Linked DNA regions of Cricetulus griseus. The protein of the gene in region 2 purifies or fractionates together with the protein of the main gene of each other region. This does not show direct contact. Links are inferred from orthologs where the notes say so. Each region holds a gene or a part of one and is shown on either strand. Other genes may lie near its edges.

What was found.
Region 1: the proteins of Ddx39a (region 2) and Thoc1 purify together in Homo sapiens (affinity purification with mass spectrometry; 3 studies listed by BioGRID and IntAct, with this or other methods). This does not show direct contact. The link is inferred for Cricetulus griseus from reciprocal best matches to the Homo sapiens genes DDX39A and THOC1.
Region 3: the proteins of Ddx39a (region 2) and Api5 fractionate together in Homo sapiens (co-fractionation; 3 studies listed by BioGRID, with this or other methods). This does not show direct contact. The link is inferred for Cricetulus griseus from reciprocal best matches to the Homo sapiens genes DDX39A and API5.

Annotation. Positions count from the first base shown.
Region 1 is NC_048595.1:236,160,889-236,164,538, reverse strand, and holds the end of Thoc1 (THO complex subunit 1), read left to right. Parts: intron 1-1,700; coding exon 1,701-1,848; intron 1,849-2,437; coding exon 2,438-2,513; intron 2,514-3,149; coding exon 3,150-3,445; 3' UTR 3,446-3,556; downstream 3,557-3,650. UniProt on the Homo sapiens protein: Component of the THO subcomplex of the TREX complex which is thought to couple mRNA transcription, processing and nuclear export, and which specifically associates with spliced mRNA and not with unspliced pre-mRNA.
Region 2 is NC_048596.1:160,700,587-160,704,674, reverse strand, and holds the start of Ddx39a (ATP-dependent RNA helicase DDX39A), read left to right. Parts: upstream 1-1,207; 5' UTR 1,208-1,364; intron 1,365-4,088. UniProt on the Homo sapiens protein: Helicase that plays an essential role in mRNA export and is involved in multiple steps in RNA metabolism including alternative splicing. Regulates nuclear mRNA export to the cytoplasm through association with ECD.
Region 3 is NC_048599.1:82,289,044-82,292,693, forward strand, and holds part of Api5 (apoptosis inhibitor 5), read left to right. Parts: intron 1-1,324; coding exon 1,325-1,486; intron 1,487-3,096; coding exon 3,097-3,190; intron 3,191-3,650. UniProt on the Homo sapiens protein: Antiapoptotic factor that may have a role in protein assembly. Negatively regulates ACIN1. By binding to ACIN1, it suppresses ACIN1 cleavage from CASP3 and ACIN1-mediated DNA fragmentation. Also known to efficiently suppress E2F1-induced apoptosis.

The DNA.
Region 1 (3,650 bases), on a different chromosome or scaffold from region 2:
GTTCCCTGTTGTTCCATTGAAGTAGCTCTTCTCTTAGTAGTTCTCACAGGACTCTTCTCTTGAGCTCTTAACAGCATCTGCCAGGAAACAGACCTGTCATGGCAGCTATGGAACCACTCACACTGTTTGCCTTTTGCTTTGCTGTCCCCTCCACCCTAGATTTCTGGGGTAACTTTTAAGACTCACCATCTTTTATCTAAAGAGTTTCATGTGACAGTATTTTTAGGTAGGTGTTTTGGAGTTGTGATTTAAAGGCAGGGGCTCTCGTCAGAATGTGTAAGTTCCCATCCTTGTGCCTTTTCTCATTTGCTAAATAATAGCCACTCATTTCACAGAGTTATTCTGAAGATTAAATGGTTCGTTTTGATCCATATACAGCATGTTGCTGACACATGATATAAATGACTAGTTTTGACCCCATGATACGTTTTTACATGCTCCAACCTCTTAACCAGTGTGTTCTATTCTCCATGCACCAGAGAGTGATCTTTTGAATATATACAGGGAAGAAAAATGTATCAGAGATTAAGGGTGCTGGCTGTTCTTTCCAGAGTCTGAAATGACATCTTCTGGCCGCCTTTGGCATACACAGATAATCATGCAGGCAAAACACCCATATACATAATAAAAGTCTAAAGTATACAAGAAATTATGTTGGGCATGGTTATACACACCTTTCATCCCAGCACTCAGACACAGAGGCACGTGGATTCTGAGTTTGAGGCCACAAGTCTACATGGTAAGACCTTGCCTAATAATAAATACATACATACAGACAGACAGACACAAAGGGCAGGCAAGGTAGTAGCACACACACAGAAAGAGTGGACATGGGAGCACATACTTATAATCCCAGCACTCTGGAGGCTAAAGCAGGAGGATTAAGTTTGAGGTTAGTGTGGCTTATAGAGTAAGATCCTATTAGTAAAATACGCACAAGTCTCATCTCGTGCTTAAAATGAAGAGTGTATATCAGAGTTAATAAGAGGCCACCAAATAAACCAGATTGCAGATCTGTGCTAAATACAAAGAACATAACAAAGCCCAAGATAGAATCCGTTTATTGGGGGCGGGAGTCCTTAGGATTTCTCATAGGTTCTTTTTCCTCACCTTCTGATTCTTTTCTTGACATCAGTGTGTCACTACTGTGGGTACTGGATATTTGCTCTTTTGACATTTTGAGCCATTTTTAATCATTGACATTGAAATTAAGTGAACTAAAGATTAGCTGTTACATAAACACAACTCTAAATACAGGTCCCTTATTGAAAATACTTGCGGCTGTGTTTTCAGATTTTCCCCCCCATATTTGGAACATTTTAGACCCTAGCAGGTAAGCATTTTAAGAAAAGTTAAACACTTAAGGTTTTAGGTTAGAGATCTCCAACTTGTATTAGTTACATTAACATGATAAACTCGAATTTATGAAATACTCTAAACTCACATATCTGTAGGTAGCAATGCAGATACAGATACCAACCAACTCACCAAATATCATTTTTCCTATCTTTCCTTTTCTTCTGTATAACTGGATGAATAGTTTCTATGTAGCCAGGGGTTGAGACATAGACCACTGACTTGCTAAAATAAGCAAAATATATAAACTTTCAAACTAAAGGATGGTACAAAATGTCATGTGACATGGAAACAACTATGGAAGTGGATAATTATAAATCCAAGGCTAACAACTCCTCTTACAGAGCTGTGAACAATTCAAATTATGGGTGGAGAGCTCTCAGGCTCTTAGCACGAAGAAGCCCTCACTTCTTCCAGCCAACCAACCAGCAATTTAAGAGTCTGCCAGAGTACCTGGAGAACATGGTAATAAAGCTAGCCAAGGAACTACCAGTAAGTGACATACTTCATTTTTCCCATTTCCTTTAGTAGACATTATCTGCTTTAAAACTGCTATCAGTATTTGAGCAGAACTCAAATTTTAGTGTATCACACAACAGTAGTAGTGGGGGCGGGGGAGGACACACACAACTTGAGGCAGAGGTTGTTGTTGAACATTCACTTAGGGAGAAAATGTGAACCAAGAGTGGTATAATTTTCTGTGCAACACCCAATTTATCAACATGTTGGAAAAAGCTACTGCCTGCAGTAAATTGGATCAGTTTTTGCTCTTACCAAATGTATTTTACTATATTTTGTCAAGAGCAGGGTCTAGGAGTAGCAGTAGGGTACCTGGCAGTGTTTTCTTATAGTACGGTAACCATAGACATGGTTAATCTCTATTGCCCCTTAGACAATACTGACTAAAGCCTAGGTGTTTACCAACCTGCTTGTTCATGCTTCTCTGTCTTCCTTCTGCCCAAAATGACAGGACCTACAGGTTGAGAGGGTCTGAGGTCCATTAATTACCTATCTAAACTATTTCCTGTTATCTTCAGAAACTAGTGTTTTTTTAAACACCATTGTTTCTCATTTACTATAGCCTCCTTCTGAAGAAATAAAAACAGGTGAAGATGAAGATGAGGAAGATAATGATGCTTTACTGAAGGAAAATGAAAGTAAGAATTGAATTTTTGAATTGAAATTGAATTTTTTGGCTATTTCACAAAACTGAAAAAGATTAGGGTTCTTTGTTGAGAGGTACATTGTATAATTTGGTCTACTTCTCAACTTCTACCATTTTATCTCAGTTTACAGTGAGATTAAAGCCATTAGTCACTTAAAATACATTTTATATAGGGAAATTTGGAAATAATTTTAAAGATAAAAAAGATGGGTGTTTTAAGGCAGAGCCTTGAACTCTGCTAATTTAATTGGGGCTAGAAGGAACATCTCTATGGGAAAATCTTCCTAATTAATATAGCTTTGAGCTGGGCGTTGGTGGTGCACGCCTTTAATCCCAGTACTCGGAAGGCAGAGGCAGGCGGATCTCTGTGAGTTCCAGGCCAGCCTGGTCTTCAGAGCGAGTGCCAGGATAGGCTCCAAAGCTACACAGAGAAAAACCCTGTCTCGAAAAACCAAAAAATAAAAAATAATTGCCTGAATTGTGATTTTTTTTTTTCCTAAGAAGGTATGTAACCTATGTAGAATTAAGTTTTAAAGTAAAGCTTAATGTGACTAGTAACCCAGTTTTTTGTTGTTGTTCTTTAAGCTTTGCAGGTCTTTCAGATAATTTATATCCTCTTGTCTTCTAGGCCCTGATGTTCGGCGAGATAAACCTGTAACAGGGGAACAGATAGAGTTATTTGCCAACAAACTTGGTGAGCAATGGAAGATTTTGGCTCCGTACTTAGAAATTAAAGACTCTGAAATTAGGCAGATTGAGTGTGACAGTGAAGACGTGAAGATGAGGGCCAAGCAGCTCCTTGTTGCCTGGCAAGATCAAGAAGGAGCTCATGCAACAACAGATAACCTGATCAGCGCACTAAACAAGTCTGGATTAAGTGACCTTGCTGAAAGCCTAACTAATGACTCCGAGACAAATAGTTAGCTTGCTTTCTTTTCTTTCTTTTTTATTAAACTGTGATAAGATTTTGTTACCAAGCGGCATTTGATAAGAGGTCCAGTGGTTTTGGTAAACAATAAACAGTTTTATAACAGCTGTTGCACAGTTGGTTAGTGCTTCAAGAACTACAAAACAGGCACTGTCTAAACCTTAGTTTGGAGTATAGGAAGGTGAGGTGGGAAAATGGCCC
Region 2 (4,088 bases):
AAGACCGGGTTTTTGTAGCTAAGGATGGGGAAGGGAGAAGAACAAAGGGCAGAATGGAGAAGTTTACCTTTTCAGAACGCAGGGTCTGTTGTCTCTTTTGTATCATCTGTAATCCCCAAATAGCTGGCTTTCTGGAGCTATAAACTAAGGTTATGGCCAATGCTTTTTTTTTTTTTTTTTTTGGAGTAGTGATCTTTTACTAGGGAACCTGAGGCAGGAGACCAACTGAGTCCAGTGTATACAACGTAGGAGTAAAAGAGTTTTGTGTTTTTGTTTTTTTTTTTTTTAACTTTTTTTGTGTTGTTTTGTTTTTCGAGACAGGGTTTCTCTGTGTTGCTTTGGAGGCTGTCCTGGAACTCGCTCTGTAGCCCAGACTGGCCTCGAACTCACAGAGATCCACCTGCCTCGGCCTCCCCAGTGCTGGGATTAAAGGCGTGCACCACCAACACCCGGCTTTTTAATTTCTTTTTAAGGGTTAAAAAAAAGAGCTGGGCGTTGGTGGCGCATGCCTTTAATCCCAGCACTCAGTAGGAAGACGCAGGCGGATCTTTGTGAGATCGAGGCCAGCCTGGTCTCCAGAGCGAGTGCCAGGATAGGCTCCAAAGCTACACAGAAAAACCCTGTCTCGAAAAACCAAATAATAATAATAATAATAATAATAATAAATAAAAAATGAGCTAAGTAGTGGTGGCACATGCCTTGCCTGTCTCAAATCCCCCCAAAAAAGAAAAAAGGAAAAGAAAAGAAAAAAATCAAAACCAAAAAACAAACAAATTGGGTCAAGTGGTGACGGCAACACACCTTTAATCCCAACAATCATGAGGCAGAGGCAGGTGGATCTATGCCAGCCTGATCTACAGAACCAGCTCAATGGCAGTTAGGGCTACACAGAGAAACCCTGTCTGGAAAAAAAGCAACCAACCGACCCACCAGACAAGAGTCAAAAATTCTATGACAGCAGGAAACTACACTTTAAAAGGGTGGGGCACAAGCATGGGCAATTAACAGGCGGTTGCCAGTACTAAATATGGCAGCATCCTTTTAGCCCTACACTCACCTCACGTGACGGGCCAGGGCGGGGCCGCAGCTTAGCTCAGCCCCATAGGACACGCCCACTCCTGATTACCCAATGAACCTGAGGCTGCAGGCACGCCCTCTTTCACCCCTTTCACCAATAGCCGGCCGACAGCGTCCTTATAAACCAATCATCACTTTTTCCTCAGTTGAGTGATAAGTCAACGGCCCAGTGAGCAAGACCCGAGTCGGGCCGCAGACAGGAAGCGTTGCCGCTCGCGTCCAGGGGCGCGACGTACAACCAGACGGACGGCTCTCCTCGCAGCTCGCGGAGGCGAACCGGGCGACAGGTAAGTGGTGGGTCCCGAGCTCGGGGCCGCAAGTCGGGGCTGTGGGTTTGCTGAAGACGCCGCGGTGCAGCGGGAGGAGTGGGCGCGAGGCGGCAGGGCGGTTAGGAACCCACCTCGAGCTGGCGGCCGTTGGGCTCCCGCGCGCATGCGCCAGGGGCGGGCCAGCCGTTAGTGTGTCGGCTTCCGGGAACGGTGTTATGGCGGCCCTCGGAGGCCGGCCTGTGTATCGTGGCGGGATTGATGCAGAGGGCGGCCTCAGGCTGGGGTTCGGGTCGCAGCCGGACGACCCGGGCCCTCGTGGGCAGAGTCTGCAGTCACCTGCCTCCTGTCTTCCTTTGCCGCTTTCCCAGGAGGTTTCTCCTCCAGACTCGGGAGGCCGGTGTGGCGGCTCACAGGAGCCGGGTCTTTCACCCGGTGTCGCCTTCCCGGTGTGAGGCGGCTCAGCCCGGTTGCATCTCATCTTCTCTGGCCCTGATTGAAACTTTAGGTCTGGGATAGCCACTTCCTGGGTTCACTTGTTTCATTTTCTGTACCTGATGGAACCCAGGCCTGACGAATTTGTGGGTATCCGCTCCGAGTAGCACCCCAACTCGTTCCTGAAACATTTGGTGTATCCCATCTTTTTTTGTTGCTGTTGTTTTTTGTTTGTTTTTTGTGTTTTCTAGACAGGGTTTCTCTGTGTAGCTTTGGAGGCTGTCCTGGAACTCGCTCTGGAGACCAGACTGGCCTCGAACTCAGAGATTCGCCTGCCTCTGCCTCCCGAGTGCTGGGATTAAAGGCATGCACCACCAACGCTCAGCCCCATCTCGTGTTTTGAGACAGGATCTTTGTACACTGGAATTCACTATGAACTCAGTGAAATCCACTTGTGTCTGCCTCCGGAGCGCTGGGATTAAAGGCGTGCACCACTACGCTCGGCTTCACCTTTATCCCTTAACTAGGACAAGAAACGTTTTTAGATCTATACTGCCTCAAAACAGTACATATGTATGAGGGGGCCATAAGGTTCTCATGAAGTTGAGGCTGTCCTTGAATTTTTTATTCACGTGGGTGTGTGAATGACTGTGTGCAGGTGCTCTTGGAGGCCGGAAGAGGGACTCGAACCTCTACTTGGAGTTAGAAGGTGGTTGTGAACTGAAAAATCGCCCGAAAGCATCAAGCGTTTTAACCGGTCTGCCACACCTCTCTTGTCCTGAATGCCCAAGGTTTTTTTTTTTTTTTTTTTTTTATTGCTGAAATAAGATCTCTATGTAGCCTTGGCTGGCCTGGAGGTCACTGGAAAAATTGCCCAGGCAATTTTAAAGTTCATTTTAGTATAGACTGGGCATTTGGGGGGGGGGGCGGGGTTGAGATAGGAGGATCGGGAATTCAAGGCTGGCCTAGGTCCTGCATAAATCCCTTTCTCAAATAAAAATAGATACACCATCTTGGCCATTCACATGTTTGAGCCAGAGATGTCTGGTTCTACTCTACCCGGGGATGGCTCTGACCTATTTGGTGTCCTCCTTATTGCCCCTGGATAATTCTCTTTCCATGCCTGTTTTTCCCAGCTGTTGGCCTTATGCTCCACTCCATCTTGAGCAAATTCTTTTTTTGGAGGGGGTGCTGTTTGCGACAGGGTTTCTCTGTGGCTTTGGAGGCTGTCCTCCAACTAGCTCTTGTAGACCAGGCTGTTCTGGAACTCAGAGATCTGTCTCTGCCTCCAGAGTGCTGGGATTAAAGGTGTGTGCCATCCATGTTCTCCCCCCCCTCACACACACACTTTTTGTGTATGTGGTGTATTTGTCTATATCAGAGGGACAATTTGTCACTTCTATGTGGATTCTGGGGAATCCTGCCCTTTCCTACTGAGTAGTAACCTTTCTTGACTGGCAAATGAACCTGTCCCTTTGCTGCTGCAGTGGACTGGTGTAAGTTTGCCGCCTTAAGGCCCTAGTTGTAGTTCCAGTCATTTACCACCACTGCTGCTGACTGCCAGGTCCTCTTCTACATATGAGATCAGGTTGGCGAGATGAGTGTTTTTGTTTGCTTATTTTTCAAGACAGAATTTCTCTGTGTAGCCTTGGCATGGAATTCAATTTGTGGACCAGGCTGACCTTGAACTCAGATTTGCCCGCCTCTGCCTTCCGAGTGCTGGGCTCAAAGGTGTGTGCCACCACACCCAGCTAAGAAGGATTCTTTTAAATTGATGCTAACAGAAGTACACTTTTGGAGAATAAGCACCCAACTAAATGGTGCTGGAGAGGGGAGATCATGACCCATGCATGTGGTAAGGTGTGTGTGGGGGGTGGGGGGTTGTTGAGATAGGGAGATAACGTCTCACTATGTAGGCCTTGGCTGTGTAGACCAGGCTGACCCGAAACTCTTCAGGTCTGCTTGCATCTGTCCTGAATGCTGTTATTAAGGATGTTTGCCACCACCTGACATTTTGGAAATATTTTATTTGGCTGTGGTGATGGCAAATGGTGTATTATTATATTCACTCTGAGACCCTCCTCCCCCCAAGTGCTATAGAGCAAGTTCCAGGACAATCAGCTACACAGAGAAAATCCAACTCAAAAATTTACGTGTGACTCTTGCCTGCATGTGTGTGCCGTACACCACTTGAGTTGCCTGGTGCCCAAAGAGGCCAAAAGGCTTAGATCCCAGGAACTATTATAGTTGTGGATAGGTACTAGGAACCAAACTTGTGTTCTTTACAAAAGCAACAACTCCTGAGCCATT
Region 3 (3,650 bases), on a different chromosome or scaffold from region 2:
TGTTATTGAAAATATACCAAAACATGGTTTTAGAAAAGCATCAAAATATTTATAGTTGGGTCTGGTGAGGTGGCTCAGGGGCTAAAAACACCAGTTGCTCTTGCCAAGTGAGAACCTAGGTTCAATTCCCTGCACCCACATGCTGGCTCACAACTGTCTTGTTATGTCATGCTGGGCAATACACATACATAGTACTTAAGTTCCATGAAGAGTGATATCATGCCTGCATTTCATGAAGAAGGTAGCCTTATTCGTGGACATGTCTGTTTATGAGAAGCTGACTGTCTGTTTCACATGTCCATAACTCCATTCTGCTTTATTTGTCATTCAGCCCAGTATTAGCCACAAAAGGTGTTAGGATAAAAGTTTGGTGGATATTTATTAGTTACTCTCTCTTCCTGGTATGAAGTAAGTACAGCACTCAGTATATCCCCTGGCAAAGTGGCCACCACTGTGTCCAATGTAGTATCAAGATTACAGTTTAGGGAACTTTATTCTTATTGATGTTGCATTTATATGGCCATACAGAAGTTACTCTGTATTTCTTGCCATTTAGTAAAAGCACCAGTTGGGAGGTATCCTTATAAGGACAACTGGGAACTTGTTGAGAATTTACATTGAATGCCCGAGAACACTTAAAAATTATTTGACAGAAATGTGAGCTTTGGGTGTATTCTCATGTGCAATGAATGTTAGAATTTGTCTTAATCCAAAATTGGCTGGCTATATAAATTGTTGCTGCTTTCACATTCTAAAATAGAAGATGAAATTAAACTTTGCTAAAATTACTTAATTTCAGAGATGTATTCCTTTCACCTTTCTCGAGATACTAGTTAGAACAGGTCCTTGTAGGTGGGAGGCAGGGTAAGACAGGTCTTGCTATGTAATTTACACTGTCTTCAAACTTGCCACCTTCTTGCCTCAGCTATCTGAATACTTCTTGCATTACAAGTGTATACCACTATGCCTGGCCACTGGTATCTTTTAGTAAATGTAACACAACTTTGAGAATTCTACAGTCTCCACGTTTTTAAAGCATGACACAGTCATAAGGCCTTGTGGTGATACCTATGATGGGATGTTGGGACATTTAACAACTTAACTTGCTTTTTCCCATTTAAAATTAGGGTCATATTTCTCTTTCCTAATTGACAAATAAAATGGGCTAGGCTGTGGGGAATAGGGAACTAGAGTAAAAAGGTCATGTCCAGTTTAAGCAGTAAAACTCTAGTGTTTATAAACATTTGGAGCATTCGTGCATGTGTAGCAAATCTCTCCATAGCTTCTAGTGCTTCAGCATTGTTTCTTTTTATCTTCCTTCCAGCATAAAGATGCCTACCAAGTGATACTGGATGGCGTGAAAGGCGGCACCAAGGAGAAACGATTAGCAGCTCAGTTTATTCCAAAATTCTTTAAGCATTTTCCTGAACTGGCTGATTCTGCAATCAATGCACAGTTAGACCTCTGTGAGGATGAAGATGTGTCAGTAAGTTTATGATTGACACTTCAATAAGCATGCTACTATTTCTATGTAAAAGTAACATGATAAAAGTAGTGATAAGTCCATAATCCATTATCATGGTATGGTTACCTTGTACCAGACCCAGAATGAATGCTACACCTTAGAAAATACTGTTTACTATTTTGTATTTATGAAAAGGGCATGGAATAACAAATTTCATTATCCACTGGTAAAAATGAAATGTAGCTCATATCTTTCTTAGATTATCATTCATGCTTCATATGAAATTAGGTTGTTGGTTGATTCAGTGTTTGTACTTGTAGTTGTATTATATGTGTCATAAAACATAGTTGGTCACTGTAATACTTGTAACTGATCACCAGATTTAAGAATGGATCCTTTTTCCATGGTGCAGAATTAACTGTTAGCATTTCTAGTTACTAGTGCAGGCTTCTAAAAATTTTTTCAGCAATTAGCTCTTTAACTTTCTAAATGAAATCAGTGAATCACTAGCATTTCATGCAGAGTATGCTAGATAAAGTCTCCATCGTTTTTAATGTAAGAGCTAGTAAATTGGAATCTTTTTTAATTCAAATTAAGTAATCAATATAGGTTCTAAAATAATTCCTGGTGTGGGCTCTGTTATGGATGCTGTTCTAGAGGAACGGCGTATTAACATGCCTAAAAGTCACAACCCAACAGTTGTACATAAGTCACATACAAAGATGTTTGTTATCGCTGAGCTCTCTGCTCCAGTCTGGTACTTAATATCCCTTTCAACTGCATTTGTCTGTTCTGTGAAACCTAAATAGTAAGTTGAGCCAGTAGCACATTTCTTAGTCCCAGCTACCTAGGAGCCTGAGACAAGAGGATCCCTTGAGCTAAGAAGTTTATGGCCAGTCTTGGCAACATGACAGTATCATGTTTCAAAAACAAACGGGGCAAATTGTTTTTAAAACTGTTACAAACAGGAGAGATGGCTCAGCAATTAAGAGCACCTGTTGCCCCTATAAAGGACCTGTCCCAACACCCACAGGTGCTCACAGTGGCCTCTAACTTCAGTTCCAAAGGATCCAGTGCCCTCTTCTGTCCCTCTGTCCTTTCTGGGCACCAGCGCATAGGTAGTGCACACATCTACACACACAGAGTCATAAATAAAAATAAAAATCTTTAAATAATGAACTCATCTTTATGAATGGTGAGATGGCTGAGCAGGTAAAGATACATTATACATAAGCCTAACAGCCCTAAGTTGAGTCCGCACAACCCATTGAAAAGTGGAAAGAATGAGCCAACTTCACAGTGTTGTCTTCTGACCTCATGGGTATTATGCCATGTTTACCTCCCTCTCCCCTGGTTCACAGATGTACACAATAATTAAACTATCTTAAGAAAAAGCATCATACATTTTACAATTCATGTGCTCTTTAGTATGGTTTTTTCTTGGTTTTAGTTATCTTTTTTTTTTTTCCTCCGAGACAGGGTTTCTCTTTGGCTTTGGAGGCTATCCTGGAACTAGTTCTTGTAGACCAGGCTGATCTCAAAAGTTTTAGTTATTTTAAAAGTTGAGTTTGTTTTTGCTTTTTTATGATGATGCCATTTTAGTTATTTTGTTTGTTTGAAATCATGCCCAGATACGACGCCAAGCAATTAAAGAGCTGCCTCAATTTGCCACTGGAGAGAATCTGCCAAGAGTAGCAGATATACTGACCCAACTTCTACAGACAGGTGAGAGGTTCTTTTGTTACCTTTTAATCGAAATATTCTCTCTAGAATACTGGCGGTTACTTTTTTGGTTTTAAATTCTGTTTATAAAGGCATAAGGGTGGGCTTCTCTTCAAACTTGTAACACATTATCATTTCACCTGTTGAGGTTCTTTTGTTACCTTTTAATCGAAATATTCTCTCTAGAATACTGGCTGTTCTTGACTGTTTTGCTTGGGTGGTGAGCCTAGAGGTCCTGCCTCTGGCAGATGAAATTGAACTTCTTTCTTTTATTCAATATTGTAAAACTCACTTGACTTCTGAGTCTGTTACTTTTTTGGTTTTAAATTCTATTTATAAAGGCATAAGGGTGGGCTTCTCTTCAGACTTGTAACACTTTATCATTTCACCTGTTTCCTATGGTGAGACACTGGTGCTATCTTAACATACATGTTTCCCAGTCATTCTCTATCCCTGTAAAAGA